Linked DNA regions of Struthio camelus. The protein of the gene in region 2 interacts with the protein of the main gene of each other region in a pairwise test. Links are inferred from orthologs where the notes say so. Each region holds a gene or a part of one and is shown on either strand. Other genes may lie near its edges.

Region 1 (8,415 bases), on a different chromosome or scaffold from region 2:
GAAGGCAACCGAAAGAAAGCTGCAGGAGCAGAACGAGGCGCTCTCTTCGCAATGACAAATTGACCTCTAAGTATTGATCTTACATGGTGCAGTCATTAAGGAACCAATGAGTTTCCAGCATCCTAAGCCCCATTTTTCCTTCTTGCTTTTGCAAATTGTTTCAAATTCAAAATGTTACAGAGCTGGTGGAGAGGAAAAATGCCAAAAACAGCAAGAAAATCCACCCCCCCGCACACCTTTAATTTACTCAGAGAAGGTCATTTTAAAATGCATCCTGTCAGTGGTCCTTTTTTGTAATCTGGCTGTTAACATTTGCTCACAGTGCTCTCAGTGAAATGAGAATAGCTATGCAAATTAAAGCCAGATATCTAGGGCAAATAGCATGCTATACTAGCATTGTTCTGACAGCTTGAGAAAACTTATCAGGAGAGCCTGTCCTTATTTCTTTTAACACCATATATATTGAAAAAAATCACTTCACCCACCACCGAAATGAAAAACAACGTATGAGTCACTAGCTTCAGCAACACTATCAATCAATGCAAGCTTGGAAGTGAAGAACTTACAAAGGAAACCATGGCTTACCCAAAATACCTAACTATGCCCTGCAACATAAAGGCCTGAATTGTGCTGCAACCAGCACAACGTTTCAACAGCAAGGATGTTATTAGTCTTAGAAACAGTGGCTCGGGACGGGTAACGACCACCTCTGCGCTTCATTTGCCCTGAAAGTCAACAGCTCCAGCAGCCAAGAAAATAGTAATGCTCGACTGGGAAGGTGGTTCAGGACCAGTTTCCAGGAGCTCCCAGCGCTCCCAATCTCCCACAAAACTTCCTTGCAGTCCTCTGCTTCAGCAATGACCAAAACACAACTTCGTTCAGTTCAACAGTGACCACAGGAAAGGCAGCATGACATTAGATCCTCCCTCCCCAAGTCAAAGAGGAAGTACATTAAACCAATTAGATGAAGCCTCCTGCTCTTCAGCATGGGAGCAACGGGAGCGCGTGGAGGAAGAATTTATTCCAAAACAAACTGCAGCCTACAATGAAAAAAAAAAGCCAGAGCCAAGACCTCTCCGTGTGCCACTACGGTGGTTTACACCAGTGCTCGCTCATCGTTGCACCAAGTCCCCCAGGAAAATACGTTCAGAGCTACCTCCGCCAGTCCTCACTGTCCCCACACTTGGATGTGAACATACAGGTATACATCGAGACTACCAGCCTTTGTCCACTGAAGTGAGGAAATTAGGTTTGGTTCTGCACTCCTAAGACTATATATGAACCCACCTCTCCTCCTCTCTCCATTCTCCAATTTGAGAAATGAAACCAAGAACCAGACCAAGAACTGTACGGTTTTTATTGGAAACAAGTTTGCCACATTTTCCAGCCGACTAGGTCATGGCAATCTGTAAGAGAAACCGAATTTTTGTTTTTTTGGAAGAACCGTACTGACTTCAAAATAACCACAACTTCAGAAGCTACATATAACATATATTTATAGTCTCTTCATTAAGAAGTGCCAAAAATACAATTCCCCTTAATACATGTGCTGTAGTCAGAAGCCATTTCCTTTGCCACTAACTTTTCTATAGTAAATCATGTTAAAATTAGTTTTATGTTATTAAGGTACAGCACAGCACACGCTGCCAATTAAATTTTGACTCTAAAACAGAATGGAAGTTGCACAACGTTTAGAATGCTTTGTAAGCCCTGAGAGAAGTCAGTTTAAAGCATGGTACATCCTATGGTATTTGGCATTAAACCAGTCTTGTATGCAGTGAGTCATTTTTCTGACTGTCAAACCAAAAAGAGATAGCCAGAAACAATGTTTTGGTGAGTACATCTTTAAATTTGTTCCTGTAATTCTGTACTAACATCTTTCTTAATTTCATTTTGGGAAAAAGCACCGTCAGTCATTTTGCAACCTCAGACACAGCATCTCAAGAGGATTTACGTGCAGGGAGATCCAGGAACGTTCGTCTATTCCCTAGCTGTGTCAACTGCGGCCAGGCCAAACCGGACAGCATTTATGGAAAGAAGCCGTGCCACCTGGGAGAGATTCTGTTCCGGCTTTACCCCTGCATTAATAAAACGCAAGCATCACGCCAGAAGATGCTCCCAAACTCACGCACGCAGTGCCCGGTGCACCTCACAAGCGCCTAGCTCGCTCTGCAGAGGCATTGCTAGGCCCCGGACTTGCACAAAAGATAACACGCGCCCTAGTTCAACACGCTGTCACATCCAAGCCCGTTGCTCGGAAAAGCCCAAGCAACCGGTCACACACCGCAGTCAGTGTGACACTGGGGGGGGGGGGAGGGAGTACGAGCAGCACAGCGGAGGCCAAATATAAAAATATATATAGGCATGCATGTGTGTATATAGGTACACATATATGTCGGTATATATGTAAATCCATGTACACAGATATACACGCGAGAGAAGCGGGGCCGCCGTTACCGCCGGGCCGGGCGGGGGGCAGTGAATGGGGCGCCGCCGGTGACCGGATTTATGAATGCGGCGTCACGTGACGGCCGCGGCCGCCCTCCTATTCACAAAACGGCGGCGGCCGCGGCGGGGCCCCGCGCCACTGCCAGCGCCGCCGCCCCCCCCCTCCGGCGGAGAGGAGGGGAGGGCGGGCAGCCCCGCCGGCTCGGCGAGCGGGCCGGGCCGGGCCGGGCCGGCGGGCAGCCGTGCGGCCAGGCCCCGAGGGGGGCCCCGGGGCCCCTCCGCCCCTTCCGCCGCCGCCGCACGGCAGGCGGCGACGCGAAAAGCCGCCCCCGGGGCAGCCCCACCGGGCTTAGTGCTCTCGGGGGTTTTTTATGAATGAAAATGCGGTATGCAAATGAGACCGGTGCGGAGGGGGGGGGAAGAGAGGGAGAGAGCGAGCGAAATGGCGGATGTGCGGGCTGCAGCGCACACACACGGACGTGCGTGTGTGTGTGTGTGTGTGTGTGTGTGTGTGTGCGCGAGTGCCCGGGGGGGCCGCGGCGGCCTCCCCGCCGGGGCAACAAAGGGGCCCCCCGGCGGTGCCCCCCCCCGCCCCGCCTCCCCGCCCGCCCGCGGCGCCCCGCTCACTCGTCCGGGTAGGCGTCCTCGGTCATCTTCTCCCCGTCTAGGCTCATCCCTCGCCGCGGGCGGCCGGGCTGCGCCTCCGCATCTTCCTGCGCTTCACATGGCGGGGGAGGCCGCGGCCGCGCCGGGCCCGACGGCGCGGGAGCGTGTGCGGCGGCGGCGGCGGCGGCGGGGGGTGCTACGGCCTCGCTCGTCGCCGGGCCGAGGAGGAGGAGGAGGAAGAGGCGGCGGCAGGGGGAGGAGAGGCGGCGGTCAGCGCGCCGCGGGGGCGCGGCGGGGCGCGGCGGCGGCGGCGGCCCGGGGCGCGGGCCCGGGGGAGCGGCGCGGCGCCCGGCGGCAGGCGGCGGCGCCGGGCCAGCGCCATGGCCGCGCTCACGCCATGGCCGGGCGCCGCGGGCGGCGGCGGCCCCGGCCCCGGCCCCGGCTGGAAGCGGCGGCGGCGCTGCCGAGCGGCCGCCGGGAGCGGGCAGGGCAGCGCCGGGAGCCGGGCAGGCAGCGAGCCGCGGCGGCGGCGAGGAAGGAGGGGACGCGCCCGCGAGTGGCGCCTCCCCCGCGGCGGCGCGGCCCGGCCCGGCCCGGCCCCCCCGGCCCCCGCGGCGCAGCGCGGCGCAGCGCAGCGCAGCGCCCGGGGCGCGGCCGCCGCCCGCCTCGGCTCGGCTCGGCTCGGCTCCGTTCGGTTGAGCTCGGCTCAGCCCGACTCAGCTTGGTTTGGCCCGTCTTGGTGCAGCTCAGCTCAGCCCCGACTGGTTCGGCTCAGTTTGGCCTGGCTCGGCTCGGCCTGACTTGGCTCCTCCGTTCAGCCCGGCCCTACTCAGCTCGTTTTCGCTCTGCTCAGCTCGGCCCGACTCGGCTCGGTTCGGTCCGACTCGGCTCGGTTCAGCCCAGCACGAGCGGCCAAGGTGACGCGCTCGCGTCCGGCCTGGCGCTACTTAGCGTGGTCATTGCTAATGTCTGGGCGTCGCAGGCGATGAGGCGCCTGCAGGTGCCCCGCGGAGCAGAGGCGAGAGCTGCCCGGCTTCCCGCGCCCAGCGCTGCGTTTCGTCAGGCCGGCGAACCCCGGGGCCTGGCTCGAGGCAACGCCAAGGTGTCCTGCCGGCGCAACGCCAAGGTGTCCTGCCGGCACGCCGCAGTGCGCTTGTGCTTTACTTCCAGCTGAAGCAGCAGGCTGGCTTTTCTGGACTATTTCTCTCCCCGCTTGCTGTCATAACTCTATTGTATGTGGGTATCCATAAAGTACTTTCCCTGAAGGCACGCTGTAAAATACTTTCACATGGGGAAATAAGTCATGATTGCTGTATACTTTAAAGGGCGCAGAATGAATACTTCACCTTGTGTAATAAGTAAGCCTGATCCTGCTCGCTCTGCAGCAAGACATGCTCCTGTCGATGGGGCTGCTCGCAGCAGTAGGTGCTCCACTTAGCTCATAGCCATAGGAGGACGCCCTGAGTAAGGATCTACTTTTCTGCAGGTTAGTAACACTATGCAATATGTGCAGGAAGATTTTTTTTTTAATAGCGTAACCATAGCAGAAGAAGAGTTTCTGAGAAGTCAGTGTCGTTGCTTGAGAAGGGGGGAGGAGCGGACGTTACACTCGTGTAAGATTTTGTGCCCGTGCTGGAGGAAAAAGCATCTCCTTGAGCACCGTCGTTCTGATCCTTCTCAGTGTTTCTTTTGGAGGTGCCCAGCTGCACTGCAAACTGGGCACTGAGGTCTGCCCGAGTTGCTGTGGGTAGGAGAAGAAAGGGAGGAGAGCGATGAGGTGATCCTCTGTTGCCAGGCACCTCCGTTTGCAGAAACGTCCAAAGCCGAAGGTGTTGAACGGCTTGTCCTGCCCAGGTGGCCAGAGTGCGTCCTCTATGCCTTTCCTTAGGTAAGCAGCGCTTTTCTCTCTTTCTTCTGGGTTTCAAGGCATAGTTTCACGACCTACACGCGGTTCCGCAACCCCTTGTCTTGGTGGGGTGGTGGGATGCGGCAGCGAGCGCAAGCCCGATAAGTCAATGTTTTTTATCACTGCCCAACTCTTGGAAAGAAGGTTTGGCCGTGAAGGTGAGTGACTAGATGTAAGTTTTGGTTTTGCTTTCTTCATCAGCTCCGATGAACGGAGCGATCCCAGGAAAAGAAGTCTCTGTCCCACCCAAACATGTTGCCTCTCCCTTCTGGCATCCATGAGCTCCTCGGCTGCAGGATCTCTGCTGATGGCGCGTGGGAGATGTCCTGTCTGAGCAAAGGCGCTGGGATCGCCGTGCAGGGGGGTATTTGGCCTCCACGTGGAGGAAGGCAGCTACCAATTTACCTTTCAAATCTAGTCTGCTGGCCTTAGTTTTAAAGGAGTGCTTGGATTCGGCAGGGCGGCCGGTGGAAAGGGTCTGTGCGTTTCTGCTCTGTTGGTTTCAGATCCTAAATGGTCTAAATTCTCTTTTCAGGATCAGAAGTGGAAAGTTGGAAGAAACTCGTGGCCTGCTAGTAACTTGCTGGCATCCATTCCTGGAGGCAAAAGTCACTTAAAGCTTTGAGGTCTTCTTTATGTGCTGCTTACACCCAAAGGGAAGCAGAGCGTCCTTTGGAGATGGTATCAGAATCCACAGCTTTGGTCACATTATGATATTAAAGTCATGTATTTTTAATTGCTAGAGGTTCAGCCTGTGACACTAGCAGCATTGCTTTCCGTTACTGCTAGCGCTGTATAACGCTTGAGAGCGTGAGCTTGCTTTCCTCCCGGCAGCAGCCTGCGGCGCGCTCGTCGGGGTGGCAAAGCTGCCTGTCTCCGGCCCCCTTCTCATCCAGTCATTCCCACGCAAAGCCCGGTTTGACGCCCGCTTAGTTGTGCTAAAGCATCCCTCTGCGGAGTTATGCTATTGATTGGCTCTGTTCAATGGGCCAGGCTAATAATAACCCCCTAATGCCCCTTGATTTTGGAAAGTTATTCGGGGATCCGGTTTTCAGAATGGCATGATAAGCATCTTGGCAAAACTGCGCTGGCACTGAAAGGAAGTGTCGAGGCAGGAAGAAACGGTCGGGGGCAAGGAAATAGCAGGAACTTCTTAAGCTGTTACACCATAAAAGCCCAGATGTAATGATCTGACACTCTTCCACCTATCCCCTTCCCCCCTCCCCAAATGATGCTGAGATTACACAGGCTTCTAACTTTTTTTTGACAAAAATCTGTGTTCAACAAGAGCACAGATGTGAGTGAAGTGGTGAGTATGGTTTTTAGTAGTGAGCTACCGCAGAACCAGAATAAGCCAGGAGTTATGGCCATGTGGAAAAACCAAACTAGCATGCAATCATGTAATTAAAAGGCTATCGTAACGCGTATGCAGCTGAGGAGGACCGGGGTACCCAGGCTGTCTTTTTACAGCGTTTATTAATGCTTGCAAGCTTGACTTTGTGACCTGAGTGACTTTTTATGCATTTTGTATGGGCATGTATATGTATTTGCCACAATGGTTAGATGCAAAAGTGTCCGAGGCTTTGAAGCGGAAGTTTTGCTAGATCTAGTTGCTTAAGCCTCTGGATTTGCAGGATCTCACATCTGATCTCTGCTCTCACTGTCATGTTAATTTGGAAGTTGCTAAGATATATGTTCTTGGAATGATTTCTGTCACCGTGCAACCCTGTTACTATTGTGTATATGCCTTTACAGCGGATAAATACTGAATTTGTTTTTTCTAATATTGCAGTTACCACACGGGTGGGTTCTTGTGAGTAGCTCTTCAAAAAGGAGTGACTTTGCTGAATGAAAAGGCTCTCAGAGGTGCAATTTCTGCTTGTGGATTCCAGTGTTTGTATACAGAGTTCCTGCTTACGCGCAGAGTGGTGTTTTCCCTGTGATGTGATCGTTACAGTACCTAGAATTAATTAGCCATTGGTGGCAGTGCTTCAAGACAGCAGCTCCTGCATACTAATGATTTGCGTGCTAGGAGTATTCTGCATTTTGGGTTTGAAAGGAAAATTTACTGTTTGTATTTCGACTGTTGCAGAGAACCTGGTGTATGGACGTTGTTTTGTGTTTGGCCTGAAAATGGACCTCGCCAAGTGCTGTTAGAGCGTTAGCTGATTTTAGCTGAAAAGCGATGGTATTTGAAGGAGCAAAGTTTAGTATGGCGTTTATTGCAGACTTCCAGTGTCACCTATTACCTTCACATACACTCGCCTTTAAATAATGCACTTTTGAGCTGAAACCTTCCGTGCTGTTGAGTTAGGAATCTAAATATGAATATCGGTACCATGTTCAATGTGCTAGTTTAAATGACTTTTCCACTGACTCACTCTGCGACTTTGAATGAGCGAGGAGTGGAAGTCAGTAGTCCTGAATCACTCTGTCCTCCAGACAATTACCCTCCACCCCCCGTAATTCTTTCGAGCAGCAATCATATTTTAAAAGCAGTGATAACAGCCGTGTTTTTCCCCATTCTAATCGCTCGGAATTTAAGAGCTACAGAAATGATCTGAAACATTTTCAGCCAGGTTGAAAGCTTTCAGCTTTGAGACGTTTCTGTAGGTCACGGAGTCTGGAAATACAAAGCCTTTTTCAGCAGCAGTGGGATTTCGCTATGTGGTTTGGAGAATTGTCACAAGTGTTTCTGTCACCTGCCAGGGAAGAGGAACTAGAGTGATCCTCACAGTCTTACTGGGACAGTCTTTTACGGACTGCAAGACCAGAAGAGGAAAGCAGAAAGGGACCCTCATTGCCAAACAGGCTGCTTTGCCCAAGATCTGGCTGTCCCACTGTTTTCTAGGTTTCTCATTTTTTATTGCGACGTGTTTTATTACTGGACAGAAACCGCCCTTCATTGCCCCAACAGCAAAGCGAACGTGATCTTTTTGCTGCTGCAGGCACGCACCCTCTTTGTGCCGTTTCTGAAACCTCGAGGCTGGAGGCCCGAGGGGAAGGAGTGGAGGGGAAGCACGGGGAAGGAGAGCAGGGATCTCGGAAATAACTGAGCGCTCACCGGCTCGAATGAAGTTAACTGGCTGGTTAGAGGAGCGACTCGGTGCTTCTAACTGAAAGAAGAGGTGGAGCAGGAGCTCGGCCCTTTCTGGACGCCGCCGGATCCGCTGGGCAATAGCAACGAGCCAGCAGCAGGGGAGGCATTGACTAGCGCTTGCTGGCAGCCGTGAGTCACGAGCTGGGAGAAACCTAGTTTCGTTAGTTGCTACATTCACGAAACCATGTGTGCTCTTTTACCTTCTCCCAGAACAAAAGCGGGGTTTCTTGAAATCAAGTGATTGCAAGGAAAAGGGGACTTCTCAAAACCTTTGTTTTCCTATTGGGCTCTCCGACGTCCCCTTAATATTCAACAGAAAGTGATTTATAGCCCTCCTGACACGATGGTTTGGTGT
Region 2 (7,619 bases):
CCCTTAATGTACTCATTTCTCTGAATCTAGACAGGACTCTAGCATATTGTATGGCATATTGCCAGACACTGTCCACTTTTGGGAAGTGGGAAAAGACATCTACTGAATCAAACATTTAACAATGTGCAATGTGAGAAACAACAGTTCATGCAGATAGCCTTCCTGCCTTCTTAGAGGGAAGATATGTAACAAACGTTTTAAAGGACACAGACTCCTCTGGTATTACCTTCCAAAAGGAAACTTATCTGTGGTGAAGACAGACTCAATTCCTTATTGTAAAGGGAAGCTAACTGACTTACTCTAAGAGCCTGGAGATGAGTACGCTTCTGTTTCTGAAATAGTGCTAGGTAACCATAAGCAAAAAATTTAAAAAAGCAAGGCTAACTCATAGCAACATGCTATACTGTTCTTTCAAATTTATTAGTAATTTGTGTTGCTTTCCACAACCACAGAATAACTTCACTTATTTTTCTTGGCAAGATAAAAATGGATCTCATTGTTTTGTGTCCAACAGAAGAAGAATAGAGCCAATGAATCCCTGAAGATGGAATGTATCTCATAAGAGAGAGTACCTGTAAAAATTTCACCATGGTCAGTTTGGGATTAGCTTCTTTCTTTTCTGTAGGGGCTTTGCTAAAAAGTTCTGCTGGATCTACTTTGTCCCAGCTGTTATATTTTCCTGAAAAATAGAAGTATATTAGCTAGAGTTCTAAATTAAATATACACTCACACACACACACATATACATATGTATAAAACTTTGCAAAACAGCTGGTTTTCAAAATCTGTCATGGAAACCTTTCTACTCTAACGTGTCTTGCTTTAAGTCTTTAGCTCTTTATGTGAATTGCAGCTATTACTTTGAAACATGACACATGAAGGGGGAAAAAAAATACTAGACACCTTTCAGAAATGATAACACGAGCTGTTAAAATATCTTCTGTTAGTACAACCAACTGACATGGCCAAAGGAAGGAGCTTTTTCCTTGTTTTCACCATGCACATAAAATGTACACGTTATAGTCTGTTCTACTGTTCATTACATATGGCCAGTTATGTCTCAGCCCTGCAAATAAATGTCTATCATGGAGCATCCTGTGTCATCTTGTAGTATCGGTGCATTTGTTCATTTCTGTATCTCTGAACTAACTGTTAGTAATATTACTTAGCAACTACATGACACCGTACCTCTCTAACGTACTGTGTAAACAACTCAAGAATTAGTCCTCATCAAACTTGTGAGGTAGTTAGCATGAGAGGAAATAGTCACATGGCTAGTCCAATATTTCAAAGCAAGTTAGTGACCAGAACCCTTGCACATGACCCTTACCATATCTCCACTTTACCAAAATACACTACGATGTATTAGACAGTCTCCCTTTAGACTCTGCATTCCTTAATTATCTTTCCTTCAAGAACACCAAAACATTTTTACAGGCTGGCACACTGAGCTTCATATCCCCTTATTTTCTGGTAACATCACTGAGGCACAGAAAAGATAAGCGTTCTGCCTAAGGTGATACAAGAAGTCAGCTACAGAACTAGAAAGAAAAATCAGAACTGCTGACCATTAGTGACCCTTTCATCCCCATTTCCGCTCTAATGCTAACTCTCTGAGTCATTTTCACAATCAGCATTTTCCCACTAGAAGTCCCAAGACAGTTTTGCAAGCCATATCAGTTAAAAAAGGTTATGAACAGACACACACCTATGAAATCCAAAGTCATCACGTGACCACACACAGATGTCATCTTGAAATGGGCGCTCTGTCCTACAAATGATCCAGCGTACTCATGCACAGAACACGCACCATTCAGTCCTTTGCGAGAGGACATGTTTCCTGTGAGAAGAACATAAATATCAACAGGCTAAAAAAAACTATTCAAAGAAAGAGGCATTACCTCTTCTGAAATCAGCTACCTCCCCCCTTTTTTCTAGATCTCACAGGTACGGTCTTCCTGATCACAGGCTTCCACTCTTCAACCAAGTTCTTCTCCAGCCAGTTATCACTTTGGGCCTTTCTTAGCATATTTCATTTCCAGTTGAAATTATCCAGGATCTCCTCTGTGTTTTTCTTCCCACCAGGAAATTCTTATGAAAAGACTTCTTCTTTTCTGGATCAGTACAACTATACTCATTCTGTTTTCCATGACTTATAAGATATTTCAAAAATCTCAGAACAACAACTTGCTACTTAACCGGCGCTTTCCAGAAACCGTACGCACTAATGCACACTGCCGCTACACTAAATAAAAGCAGGCTCATTTACCCTGGGATTGAACAGGTGTTAGCAGACAAAAAAAAAAACAAAACAAAACCAAACAAAACGTGGAATGCCATCCAGGTACTTTATGGACTGGAACCCGTCCTACCACAGTGCTCTCAGTGACAGCTGCTCCAAAGACAAGAAAGCAGCTGTCCAGGGGGTTTCCCACCTCATTTCACCACGGGGAAGCCTTTGCATCATGTCCCTACTCAACCTACACGCATTTCCTCAGTAAAGCCTGGGAGTCCTAGAGGACTTAGACCGGCCGGACGACAAGCAGTAGGGCCGAAACCAACACGCTCTCGTCCCTACCCCGCGAGAGGATCTTGGCGATGGACTGAGCCAGGGAAGGTTTCTCTGCAACCATCAGCACGGTCTTCATTTTCAGCCGAGGAGACGCGCCACAGAGCTCGACGGTGCGATCTGGGTTTGCTGGAGGCCGCAGCGCTCAGCTCAGGGACGAAAACCTGCTCTCACGGGGTTAATTCTCACTCTAGGGAGAGAAAGCACAGAACAGCGTGTACTACAAAACCACCTCTAGGGGAAAAAACCCTAGGAGCGCTGCCAAAACTCGGCGCAAGGGCAGATTTCGCAGCTCCTAACGGCCCCGCAGGGGGCAGGGGCCGCCCCGGGGCGACCGGCGGCGCCACCGCCCTGAGCAGCGGCCGGGGCCCGCGCGCCTCAAGGGGCCCCGCGGGGCAGCCGCCCCCGGGCCGCGCCGGCCCCGCTCCGCTTCCCGCCGCCGGGCGCGGCCGCCCCTCAGGGGCCGCGGGTTCGAGTCCCCCGCGGGGAGGCGGCGGCGGGAAGCGGCCCGGCCTCACCGAGGTGAAGTGCGGGGCGGCGACTCCGCCCCCCCCTCCCCCCCGCTCCGTCCCGGCCGCCGCCGCTCCCGTCCCCGCCGCGCCACAACCTCAGCGGGCGGCCATCGCCTCCGCTTGCACTGCCGGGTCACGGAGCCGGAAGGCGCGGAGGGGGAGGTGGCCGGCGCCGCCCCGGGGGGAAGCGGGAAAGGGCGGGCGCGGCGCTCCCCGCCCCCTCGGCGGGAACCGCGCGGCTCCCCCCGCCCCTTCCCCGGCGCCCCCTGGCGGCGCGAGGGGCGGGCTGGGTGGAAATGGGGGGTGTATGGGGTGTGAGGGGGTTACGAGGGGTGTGTGTAGGGGTAAATGGGGTGTGTATGGGGCTTTGGCGTGTGCGTGAGGGGGTACATGGGGTGTGGGGGCGGTGGGAGTGAGAAGGAGCGCGGAGGGCAGGGAGGAGCGTGTGTGAAGGGGTGGGGGGGTGTGAGGAGGGTGCGTGGGTGAGGGATGTGAAGGGGCTGTGGGGGTGTGTGAGGGGGGTTGAAGGGGGGTGTGTGTGAGAGGGTGCGAGGAGGGTGTGAAGGGGGTGGGACGGGAGGGCGCCTGTGAGGGGGTTGTGGGGGAGGGCTGCGGGCTTTGCCATAAATCGGCCCCGGTGCTGGCGGGGTCTCGGCGTCGCCGCGTTTGCGTTCGTGCCGCTGGCTTCGCCGGCGCCGGAGGGCCAGGCCTCACCTCCTTCAGGTCTCGCTGCGGTGGCAACCTGCCTCTTCCAGCAGCAGGAGGCTGCTGTGGCCACCACCTGGCCTGGCCGAAACGTCCCCGTCCCCAGCACGACGGTCCGCGTCGACGTTTCCTCTCCAAGTCCGGTCAGAATGGCCTCGGGCAAGCTACGTGGCTTTACCTGCGTCTCCCTGACCGAATGCGAGCAGCCCTGCCAGCCACCCCGGCCGTGCTGGTTAATAACTCTTAATGCGCCTCATCAGGAGCTAGAGCGCCAGGAGTAGTCGCAGCCTCGTCCTTCGTTGTCGTGCTTTTTGCACGGCATAAAAAACGCTTTACATGCTGCTGCAAAATGAGCGCGAGACAAAGTGTGGGATCTCCGTGAGGGAAATAGAGAGCTACAAAGGCTCTGCTCCTTGCTGTTGGCCTCACCTGAAAAACTGTAAATAATCAAACCTGGTTTGATAAATCAAATCCAGTCTATTTATGGGTGCCTTGCAACCACCTTTGCCACAGCAGCCCGTGCCTCTATCCTTGTTGTAAGCCCCTTGCAGGGGAATTGAATACAGCAGAGAAGATAGCTAGTATTTTGTCTCTCAAAACATTAATTTCAGTCATAATGAACGAAAATTACTGACTTCAAAAGGAGAGCGCCATACAGGAGAGCTCCTGGGCACCTCCGCCTCTGCCCAGGAGAGGGCAGGTATACACACGTGCGCGCACCTCCCATCCTTGATCCTCGTCCTGTCTTCTTGCACAAGTAAACTAGATTCCACTAACAGATTTAACAGGAATGTTTCTAAATGCTTTGGTGATCCTCACAATAAGCATGCGAATGCAATTCCCAATAGGAATAGGAAATGGATAAGCTCACAATAGGGAATTGATATTAGATATTTACTGGACACCAAAGCACCAGAAAAATTTACCACCGCTGTTTCCTTCTCCCAGTCCATGCACAAAGTTCTTCCACTGGAACCAAAAAGCAATTTTGTACTCACTCCCTTAGATCAGTCCAGCTATGCACTGATTTCTCCTCTCACTTTAAATTTGGTTGTTATCAAAGGTACAAACAAAACAAATATAATCAAACCCCTGCAAGAAAAATCCATGTCCAAAAGCTGTATCTGCTTTATTCAAGCAACGTAAGTTAAACCAGTGCAACTGTACAGAGTCCATAATTCATTTTCTGGTTTCCGTACACTCAAACTCACAGTATAAATAGTCTCTGTCACTAACAGCAGCTCCTTCAATGCAAAGAAATGTGTCCTAGGACTGTTAGGAGCCACCTGATTTCCTTGCACCCAGATGATGTGACAGAAACAGTCCTGATTTCTGAAAAATCTTGGATTTATATCACAAATTCTTGAAAAATGTCTTCTCTCATGTTAAATTTTTGTTGAATGTTGATTGCTCCTTTAGAACAAACAGAGAGAAAGAGAGAGAGGAAGGAGGGGAAAGGAAAGGAGGAAGGCCCAGGCAGAAGCACACCATTCACCCCTCATTTCCCCCAGTTTGGGGCCAAAGGGTGCCCTGAGCCAGCTCTTGCTCCTCTCCAGGTCTGGACCCTTTTCCCACGCCACGCAGGGGCAGTAGAGGCCCTCTGCCCTCGCTGCCACCCCTCAAGGATGGTGGGCCCCACTAAGGCAGGTTTTACCAGCAGATCAGAGCAGCTTCAGACCTCTGCTATGACCTCTCACTCTTCTACGTGCCCTGAAATGTTTCAGTCAAGTGACTTGCTGAAGGGTGAAGCCCCAAGTAGACCAGTTTTATAAACCCTTTGTGCAGGAGAGCCGCTCCCTAGTTTTACCCCTGTGGTGTACATCTCTTGTTCCCAATATTTATAGCTCTTCTTTCCAAGAGTTGCTCGGATACCATGCAAACCCAGAGAGAAGAGATTGGTAAGCAGCCAGGAATAGAATGTGTATCGTCATCACACCATCTAGAACAAAACGGAACAAATTCACCCTCAATTAGACTAGTAGACAATAGATACTAAAGTTACTGGTGAAAGAAAAAATCAAAACAAACTCAGGACTTTTTATTCTTTGGCAATTCTGAAGTTAGAACTTGTTAAAACAAATGTGTTCTTCTGTTTCAATGACTGGTTCCCTTTGACATCTGGGGAACATCTGGAATAATCAGGATGCAAGTTCAAACCAAGTCTTCAGATATGTCACATACATATTTTTCAATTTCCTCTACTAAAAACCCTCCACAATATCCAACAACGTTTCTTTTCTTTTCTAATGTGCAATGCAACATGCACACTCTGACCCACCTGTGAAAGGGCAGTCAGGCCTCTTGGATACATGGCAGAGAGACTGTGTGCAGCTGGAGTCCCTGTGTGCCTTTTTGGTGGCACATAAGCTAGTCTAGCTGGTTTATTGGGCCACACAAGGATTTTCCTGACCTGAAGGAAGCACTGGTTTCCATACAGGCCAGTAAAGGCCATGTACAACAGCCCTCCTTGACCTAACCCATTGAGTACGTTGGGGCATCAGGTCACACTTGTCCCCCTGAAGCATCCCCAACCAGAACAAGACAGTTTTGGAAAGTCGTTTGCAGGATCTCATTCGCCTCACTCATACTCTTCCAGAGTGGAGCTGCATCACTCCCACAGCTACAGAGGATCACAGAGCCTGGTGCTGCCATCCTGATATAGTGAGAGTGAGGTGGGACATCTTGGCCTTCCTGTTACCCTTCCTGCTTGGCTGCTTGTTTGAAGGCTTTGCCGTATCTAGGACTACGCCACAGATCTGCCCATGTGCAGTATGAAGTCCGAGGCTTGCGTAACAAACTCTTGTGTTCCCTAGAAGCAAAAGCTACGTCTCCATGGTCTCCTCTGTGCACGTTTGATGTGAATGGTCCCTGCAGTGGGAGGAAGACAGCAGAGCCACCCTGCAGTGGCAGAGGCCACCTACACAGGTCTTGTGCTCTTGGGTCCTCCACCACATCCCTGAAACCTGACTGTGGTCTTTGTGCTGCAGCCTCTGTTCCTGGCCAGTTGAGTCTCCCAACACAAACAGGACAGACACTGGTTTCTAGAAGGTTTCTGTAACATCTAACTGCCACAGCCTAGGAGCTATGGAGTGTCCAACTTTTCTAATATGGTTTGGAAGGTCACCAGACCATTAAAGCCAACGGCATATCTAGTACCAGCCAGGGAGCTCTACAAGTTGTGAGCAGGTCTTGCTTCCTTCCAAGGACCCTGAGAAGACACATGCTACTGAAATGGACATGAGTGTGCAACAGAGCTGGCCTACACACTAAATGGGGGGGGGGGGAGGGCTTACAAATTATTGCCAATTAAGGGTCAAATCCCAAATCAGAATAAAAATGGGATTTCTGGTTCTCTCCTCAGTGCTCAGCCCTCCTGGCTGGTTACCAGACCTCTCCATCTCTCCTCAGCTTGTACGGCTTCCATCACCATGGCAGAAGGCCCTCAGCCTCTGACTTGCCCTGTCACTCTCTCCAGGGACAACACTGAACAGACCCAGATGACAAGTTAAACAAAACCAAAAAAAACCCTCAACCTCCCCAACCCCCCTTTTTGTGCCCTTGTATTCACTCTGGTTGCTTTTATGTCAATAGGAAATGCCGCCTTTAGCCAGTAATTTGAGCTGACAAGCATTCCTGGCTCCATGTCCCCAGCTCCCATCCGAGTCAGGCTGGGGGCAGGGGCTCTACAGCCCAGGGCCCTAATCTGGGAACTTGCTCCCATGAGATTAACCTTCAGTTTCCCTCTGACCACACAACGCCCATAAATTGGCTTGCAGAGAGGATTTTAACTGTTAGTTTGCATGTGGGATACTCCAGCCAAGATGGGGCACCAA

Evidence for each region. The genes of interacting proteins can lie anywhere in the genome.
Region 1: the proteins of TOP3B (region 2) and SPRED2 interact in binary tests that used the Homo sapiens proteins (3 or more experiments, as listed by UniProt). The link is inferred for Struthio camelus from reciprocal best matches to the Homo sapiens genes TOP3B and SPRED2.

What each region holds. Positions count from the first base shown.
Region 1 is NC_090944.1:141,409,851-141,418,265, forward strand, and holds the start of SPRED2 (sprouty-related, EVH1 domain-containing protein 2), read right to left. Parts: upstream 3,281-8,415; 5' UTR 3,123-3,280; coding exon 3,076-3,122; intron 1-3,075. UniProt on the Homo sapiens protein: Negatively regulates Ras signaling pathways and downstream activation of MAP kinases. Recruits and translocates NF1 to the cell membrane, thereby enabling NF1-dependent hydrolysis of active GTP-bound Ras to inactive GDP-bound Ras.
Region 2 is NC_090958.1:10,355,851-10,363,469, reverse strand, and holds the start of TOP3B (DNA topoisomerase 3-beta-1), read right to left. Parts: upstream 3,271-7,619; 5' UTR 3,177-3,270; intron 2,760-3,176; 5' UTR 2,649-2,759; coding exon 2,579-2,648; intron 1,841-2,578; coding exon 1,709-1,840; intron 680-1,708; coding exon 573-679; intron 1-572. UniProt on the Homo sapiens protein: Releases the supercoiling and torsional tension of DNA introduced during the DNA replication and transcription by transiently cleaving and rejoining one strand of the DNA duplex.